Drosophila melanogaster: one gene and its partner. The protein of the gene in region 1 interacts with the protein of each later gene in a pairwise test. Each region holds a gene or a part of one and is shown on either strand. Other genes may lie near its edges.

Region 1 (4,785 bases):
TCAGTCCAGGACTCGCTGTGAACTTGGCCACATCAACGATTTTGACGGCAAACTGCTGATTGGACTCCCTGTGTATGCATCGCCTTACGATGGAGAAAGGTCCTCTGTAAGAAACAATCCCGGATGGGGGGGGAATAAAGTAAATTCGGATTAAACTTCAATTGAAAGTTGATTGTGTCTAAATGGGAGCGAATAAAATTTTATCTTGCTTCGACAAAAGCAAAATATTTATATTTTCCGAGCGTCTAAAAGCAAACAAGATACTTGAGAAAGAGGAAATTTAATCAACTATGTATTCTCTTTGTAGTTACAAACGTGGGGTTTTAATACAAAAGCTTGCCATAACATTACTGATGATTATTTTACAAATAAATTTTAATTTTCTTACAAATTCCTATTCAATAACTCATTTAAAGTCAAGCAACGATTTCCTATCATCTTGTTTTATGAGCGTGATTAATTTTTATTGAACTATGTCACCAAGCTGAATTTGGAAAACTATTGCGATTCAAGGTCGTCATTTTGCTTATAGTTTATAGATTATAAATTGCAAAAAATTAAAAAACGTGCTATTTAGTGACTCACACTTCATTTTCAATAAACTTTAGAAGTGTGTTAATGGAACATTTTCAACATCAGTGAAAAATATTTTTCCAACGAAATTAAACAAAGTTCAACTTAATAACATTGACAGCTTTGTGAATGAACTTCTGGCTAAACTATGATGATCACAGCAAAAGTAACTAGCACAGAAAATGTTTGGTCATACATTTTTGAATAATGCAAAAGTTGGGCGTTTGGGAAAGTTTTTTATAGAGGGGAGCTGGCTTCGTCCCAGGCCAATAGTTGCATGATTTACGGCTTCTGGGTGGGTGGGATGGGCATACGGGGCGGATACATAATACATAATGAGATAATGGCCATGGATGCCAGCTGTCAGCAGCAGAATCGGCTAAAGATATAGCCGGTGGGGCGCTAACTTACTTGCCAATGACCTCGCACAGCTCGTAGACGTCGTCAAAGAGAATTTCGTCTTCGGTCATTTTGAATAATTGATGAATTGATGCCTCGACTCAATTGCTTTTTCGAATATTGATGAGTTGTGTCCTGTTTTTCGTGTCCGTCGCTTTTCCTTCTCCCGCTTCCTTTGCCCGTCGTCGCCTACTGCCCTCCAAAAACGAACATAAAAAATAAACAAAAAACTAAGCGGCCAGTGAGCAACTCCAAAACTTTGAGCGTTTTCCTTCGGTTTCTTCTGATGATTTGTTGTTAATGGTATTGTTATTGGTGTCGTTGATTCGTTGTTGCCGCTAATGCTGTTGCTGTTTTCGTAGCTGCTGATGTTAAGAATGCATTTTGCGCTGGAAAAATATAACAAGTGAAAATGGTGAAGGTGAGTTTTTCCATTAGTTGAAGGCCGCTAATCAGATTTATTTGGCGTCTAATTAAGAAACTGTCAAGAAGCTTTGCGAGAATTCTGTCAAGCAGATGACGCAAATATAAACAAATTTGTTTACATTTGTGAAAAATTATACACAGATTTTAATCAAGAAAATTTGCTAATAATTTCCTAAATATTTTGTAATCTTACTTACAAACTAAGTTAAGTTTATAATGCTATCTGAATCAATCAAATTGAAAATGCCACTATAAAGTTGGGCTGGCGTGTTGACACTTGTGTGATGGGAACACTTTTCGAGGGACCACTGTTAATGGTGTCGCAACGGAAATGAGACTGGCCTGGCCGAAACTTGTTTGATATGTCAATCACACTCATATCAGGTGTAAACCCCAATCAATTACAGGCGGCACACACCACAAATGCACAAAATGCTGTCGAAAGTGCCAATGGTAGGAAGGAAGTATCCCCGCACAGTGGGCGTTGTGAATTTTGCAACGGAAATGATGGCCAGCTGAAAAGGTAAACAAGCCAGCAGGACCTGCAGAATGTGTCCTTTTCGAGGGTCTCGTTCCAAGGATGTTCGCGGGGAAAGTTCGCAGGGGGGGAGGGTGGATGGGAGGCGCTACCTTTGTCTTGGCCATACTATTATTATGCCTTTTGGTCCAGCACTTGAACATACTTTTCAAAACTTTGATGGCACTCCAAAAATCCGAAAGGAGAAAGCCAGAGAGCGAGAGAGTGTGAAAGAGAGCGAAGGAGTGCGAGAAAGATGGCGAGCATGGATGTAAAGTGCGCCGGCGCCGTGGGAAATTCGTGTAAAGCACCAAAATTGTAATCGTAAAAAATATAAGCTATGCTTTCTGCCCGGGCTGCATGAATATTTAAATGTGCAACAATTTACGATGCACACACGAAATGTGGAGAACTGAGTTGCGACTGCGAGAGCAGGACGGAGCATTTGCGGGGAATCCCCGCGAAGGACTTTCTGGTAGTCATGTTTAATGCAGAGCTGCGCATGGGGCGCGGTGTTTTTGGCTCGGTTTTAGTATTCGGGCTCGAGGGTTTTACCTTGCTCGTGTGCCGCTGTTGTAAAATGCCTTGACACTTTCCACACGACCTTACCGCCCACCTCACTAACGCACCCACCCACACCCACATACACTCACTCACTGACTATGTGTGTGCATTTGGCCCTGCTTTTAGGACTTTTTGAGACTCTCGAGTGTCGCACAATTGGCAAATTGATTCTTTGTCTAAAGGATTTGCATTGCTCATGTTCCACGCCCCCTTATCAACGACACCGCCCCCTTTATCGGCCACACATAGAGGGGGCCACACTCACACCACACACACACACACACACACGAACACACACTGGCACGAACAATTCGCATATAGTTTTATGTACGAAAACCCACCGATTTGGCAGCGATTCTTCAACGGCCGCTGGTTTTTGGCATTTTAGCGAATCGCATTAGCACTCGATTGTCTAGGTGCGCAGCACGAATCGCCTGGCAAGCTGATTGCATTGGGTAATTTACTAATTTTAACTTAAAACAAACACGGCCCGTGAGGAATTGATTGGCGAAGAACTGGTTGCAACTGAACCGGTTCGCCGCGAACTAGAATTCCAGGGCTGCAGGTGCATTGCTGGATTGGTTCGGAACTTGGAGTCGGTTCACGGCTCTCCCATTGAAAATTGATACCAACCTGTGTTCATTAAAAATATTGTTTTTAAAATAAATTTAAGGGTGGTACTGCAGCAACTTACTTCGTTAATCAAAGTTTTAATTCAAGAAAGTTTGTTTGAATCAAGCAACTGGTTATACTGGAAAAATACCAGAAACCCGTTGGTATCTAAGCTTTTCTGTCATTTTGTTATTAACTTTATTTGGTCTGTTAAAATTTGCGCGGAAGTTTTTGAAAAAAAGTTTTGGGGACGAGAAAGTATAATTTTGGAATATTGTTAAGAATATAGTCATTCATAACGACACAGATGTTTTATCGAAATTGAAAATAAATACTATTAAAACTTTAATTTTGTTAAAGAAAAAGTAAATTATATTTTCCTGCTCCTTTCTCTTCGGTAGCATTTTGCATATGCTTTTATTTGCTTGACTTATCAGCAAAAGGCAGTTGTTTTCCTTTGATAAATACCCACTGCATGCTTAATAAATTTACTCGAAAGTAAGATAATTCATTGCACACTGAATTGTTTCCGCTTGAGTGAAGTCAAATGGAGGTAAATATTTATGCGGTACGCAAGCAAGTGCATAAAGCTATTGTGGAATATTGCACATACGAATTTCGAACACTTTCCAGTTTTATCGGCAATACGATGCCAATTACCATTCATCAACTTGAAAGTAAACATTTTCCCCTTCAAAAATGATTCACGATTTATTTAACTGGACTAAGCCACCAGTGTGTTAATACAGGGATTTTCACTACAGAACCTTTATCAACTTACTTTATCGCCAGGCTCGTTCACAGCTCATTGAATATTACCATATTATTTACATTACTTCTCTTTCGCGCCATTCAACTTTATCTATTATTATTATTATTACCCCACAGCATTTGATAAACCCATTAGAATAAATTAAGATCTTGGCATTAATATGCCAGGCACACACACAGGAGTCCCTCAACCGAAGACGAGGAAAACCCACACGCACTCCTCGAAAATAAAAAATAAAAACCGTAGGTGCGTAATCTTTAAATCAGTTGGAAGGGGCTGGTGACGGGGGCCAATACTCAAACATAAACATCATCAATTACAAAACCTCGAACAGCAACAACAACAACAATCACCGCCAAACGCCCAACGACAACAACACACAGATAAGATGCAAGAGAAACAACAAGCCAATAAGGGAGCAACAAACACAAAACCATCAGCCAAATGAAGAAAGACCTGATGAAAATGAACTCAATATGGCCATATTACTACGGGGGATATAGTCGAAAAGGATAAGCACCAACAACCATTTCGAGATGAGCAGCAAAAACAACAAGTGTTAATGATCAGCAATAACAACAGTGGTCACCCACTAATGTCCACCTTTCGATTGTAAAATAGCAGCCAATTAAATTATACGCACTATGAAATATTCAGAAATAATAAAAAAGTAATTAATTTTTTTTTTAATTTATACAACTTCTTTCATAATTTGTGAGATCAATCAAATAGTTTGGGTATAAACTAAAAAGTACACACCTTCCTCATTCTTAAGTGGTTTTACCTACTTGTATCAGCCAGCTAAAATATATAGAAAAGAAAAAAAAATTTTGTTTTTTTATTTAAAACGCGAATCTTGAAAAATATATATATATAAAAATATTATCCAATTACCACTGTACCCTAATAAAAAAAAAGCACA
Region 2 (3,465 bases), 3.2 Mb from region 1:
TTACGATCAGGAGTTTCGTATGTAAGTAGTTACTTTTTAATTTATGCATCCATATATAAATATACCTTCATTCGGCAGAAACTTGAGTGACCACCAGCGAAGTGAAAAGAATAGTCTTATTGTATTTAGCATCAAAGATAAAGATTTATTCGGCATGTCGAGCCAGTATATAGCAGAGAGCTATATATCTTTCGCAGATCTGGAAGCGACACCACCGGGCGAGCAAATAATGATGAATCTATCCAGACCAGAGTATACAGGTACCTAATCATACTTTTGGCAGATTAAAACTGGAAACTTATACATGTTATGTGCTTTCAGATTCCGAATCACTGCGTGCCTTGGAATACAGACTAGGTGATAAGCAGGCCAAGGATTTCCTTAAAAAGCTGAAGAACCGATCCTTCTCCTAAATTGTGAAAAGTTATACGTTGTAAAGAAAAGCAATAAAACTGTATTTTTATATTTTCTACGGCAATCGTACTAAAATTTACAAAGTTGCGTTTTGAAATGGGCCCCATTTATGGACTGAAACTTATGAAGAAAAGATTTGCATTGTCTGACAGTTTTAATTACATTTATTGGAACAAAAACCAACGCGGTAATTAGTTACAAATACATAACACTCACTTTTTACGATTAAAGAGTAATTTTCCAGAGTTTCTTTGTAATAAATAATATATAAATGGTATTTGTGTTAAATTATATTATTCGTAAAGGGCTTGATACGTGCATATCAGCATGGTCTAATGGCAAAAACTACTATGGCACAAGTTTTTGCCGATGTGCCTTATTGGCGACGACGTGTGTTGCGTTGCTTATCAAATCGCATTTCCATTTCCTCGAGAACCTTTGGTGTGTAGCGTACCACCAGCTTTACAGATCCGACAGCTTGCTTTAATAGCTCTACGGCCTTCTCGTGGTTTTCTCCTTCGACAGACTGAAATATTGATATTTTGCAAGTTCTTAAGGAGTTAAGGTACATAACTGAATTAATGACTTACCACACCATTCACAGACAAAAGTTGATCTCCCCTTTTCAGACCACCATGCCTGTCAGCCACGCCTCCAGGTATTATTCGGGATATATAGATGGGCGAGTTTTGCTCCTTGCCCCCCATTACATTGAAACCCAAGCCTGAAAAACAAAAATTAAAGATTGATAAAGCTTTCCATATAAGATGTATAATAGAAACATATATTCTCGGTCTATAGACCTTTACAATCAAGGTATTGGTTTTATGATATAGGGGAATCCCCTCGATTCTTAGCTCATAGGGGCGTGTCTTACCCTCCTCCGTTTTCGGGAGCTCGACGACTCTGGGATGAGCGTGCCCCTCGCTGGCTGCGAAGGCTGCCACAGTGGCCTTGGCAGTGGCGGATGCCCTCACGTCGTGGGAGCCCTGGATGTCCACCGTCTCGTAGACGTGCTCGTACACCTCCCGCACGGAGGTCATGAAGTCCGAGTTGAGCACCTTCTGCAGGGCGGCCAGTTTTGTCGTGGGGAAGTCGCCACTCGCTTGCAGCTTTTCCAAGAGCTCTATCGATCTTTTGACATCTGAAAGTTAGAGCATTGGGTGTGAGTTTCCTCCAACTGGGAATGGTTAGCATGCACCCTTACCTCTGGACAAAGTCAGTGGTTCTGCGTTATCGGCCATATTGCTGTTCAATTTAATAATAATCAGTCAAATTGAGCTGACCTGAAATATTATTCGAGCAGCTGAAAATAATATGACCATACGTCTCAGGGGCACAAAATACCATTCCGTGAAATTATATTCTCTATTTGAAATAATTTGGTTTAATAAAATAGTAACAAAAGTTATATTTTTTATATTTAACAATATATCATATACTTATAATCTAATCTCAGTACTTTTCGTTTAAAAAATTATCTTTTGAAACAAACAAGTTTCTTGAAAGTGTGGTATTTTATGCACGTACATCCATGGTCATATTATTTTATATTGATATTATTTCCGCACCGTATTTATTTAAACTAACAATAGAATAATAGCAAAATGAGCCTGCCAGCTGCACTATTGCAGCGCCTGAAGAAGCGCGGACTTGTGACCAAACAGTCGGGTAAATACAAAGACCAGTATAGAATCCAAAAAGAGGATAACCAACTTCAGCTTTCCACAGGAGCAGCACCGATTTCAGAAGCTATAGAAGAGATTATAGCCGAGAACTACGATGACGATGACAAGAGCGGCCCTTACCCGTACAAGGAGGACACATCGCCGGAGCCCAAGCGCAGGAGCGTCGAGGAGAAGTTCTGGTCGCACCGCATCAAGGAGCGGATCGGCGTGAACGAGTCCTACCATGGCTACAAGCTGTGTCCCAACAAATACAACATATACCACAAGTGCTCGCTGTACTGCGTAAACAAGTTCAACAGCTCGCCGCTTTCGCAGCCCAGCCATAGGTATCTCAAGCGCTACAAGAGATTGCTGCGGAAGTATCCACTGGAGGCGGGCTGGAAGGATGTCTACGATAAGGGCTGCAAGGCGTTTTACTTCTATAACTCGACCACACAGACTGTTTCGTGGCTACCTCCTTCGCATCCCAAAGCACGGATCACCAACAGCGCCGCAGTGTTTCGCAGACAACTGGCCAACTCCAACGATGAGTTCAACTTCGATACCAACATGGTTCAGCCCAAGTCTTCTAACCAAAATGAACCCGACGAGCCCGACGTATTCGTTCCCGCCAAGAAGCAAAAGTCCAGGGACCTGGAACGAAAAATCCAACGACGTCGCCGTAATGATAACTAGCACTACTAACTAGCCATTTGACTTATGAGCTGTAGATCGCTACTGTTCAAATAAAAATGAATAACTATGATAGATATTAAGGTTTAAAAATGTACACTCTGCTTTATTGAATTGCTAGCTTAAGACAATGAATGGTGGAGCCGCGAACAGATTTAAATCGAAGGAACCGGAAATTTTACGAAAGCAGCAACTCGATAAAATTGTGTCGCACGAGTCGGGAAGTATGTGAAAGTTGAATTTGAGGCGGCGATTAAAGCCCTCAACATGAGGATGCGGTGGACACACTTTCACCAAACTATGTGCTATGTGTAAAGTGTTTTAACCAAGTTATATATATTGGTGAAAGATCAATACAATTATTTTTTTTTTGGGTTTATTTCAAGGTTCGTTTTCCCTTAACAACAACCGGTCGGTTTCGTATGTAGCCCTTGCGACGCTTAGAGTTCTGCAAAGAATCAGATTGTTAATGAAGTTCATTGGGAGCTGCAGGGTACACTACCTTTCTCGAAATGAAGTTTGCTGGAGGAATCGTTCTCTCCTTGGTCTTCAGTGATGGTCTATTGAACTCATGCGGCTTCTTCACCCTATAGATGCGAACAAGCCAGTGTTCTGTGGTGTAGGCCTCCTCCAGGTAGGTCAGATCGAAGTCCTTATTCCCAATGACGGCGTTACGTGTGCGATCATATCC

What was found. The genes of interacting proteins can lie anywhere in the genome.
Region 2: the proteins of CASK (region 1) and veli interact in a two-hybrid assay, tested with the Drosophila melanogaster proteins (2 studies listed by BioGRID).

Annotation. Positions count from the first base shown.
Region 1 is NT_033777.3:21,819,663-21,824,447, forward strand, and holds the start of CASK (CASK), read right to left. Parts: upstream 3,013-4,785; 5' UTR 2,821-3,012; intron 1,362-2,820; 5' UTR 1,044-1,361; coding exon 985-1,043; intron 105-984; coding exon 1-104.
Region 2 is NT_033777.3:25,063,857-25,067,321, forward strand, and holds veli (veli), read right to left. Parts: upstream 1,736-3,465; 5' UTR 1,659-1,735; coding exon 1,622-1,658; intron 1,559-1,621; coding exon 1,005-1,558; intron 941-1,004; coding exon 791-940; 3' UTR 562-790; downstream 1-561. Other genes in the region: stac (staccato), read left to right, coding at 1-21, 79-260, 322-413; PQBP1 (Poly-glutamine tract binding protein 1), read left to right, coding at 2,022-2,085, 2,146-2,777; Stt3B (catalytic subunit 3B of the oligosaccharyltransferase complex), read right to left, coding at 3,151-3,222, 3,277-3,465.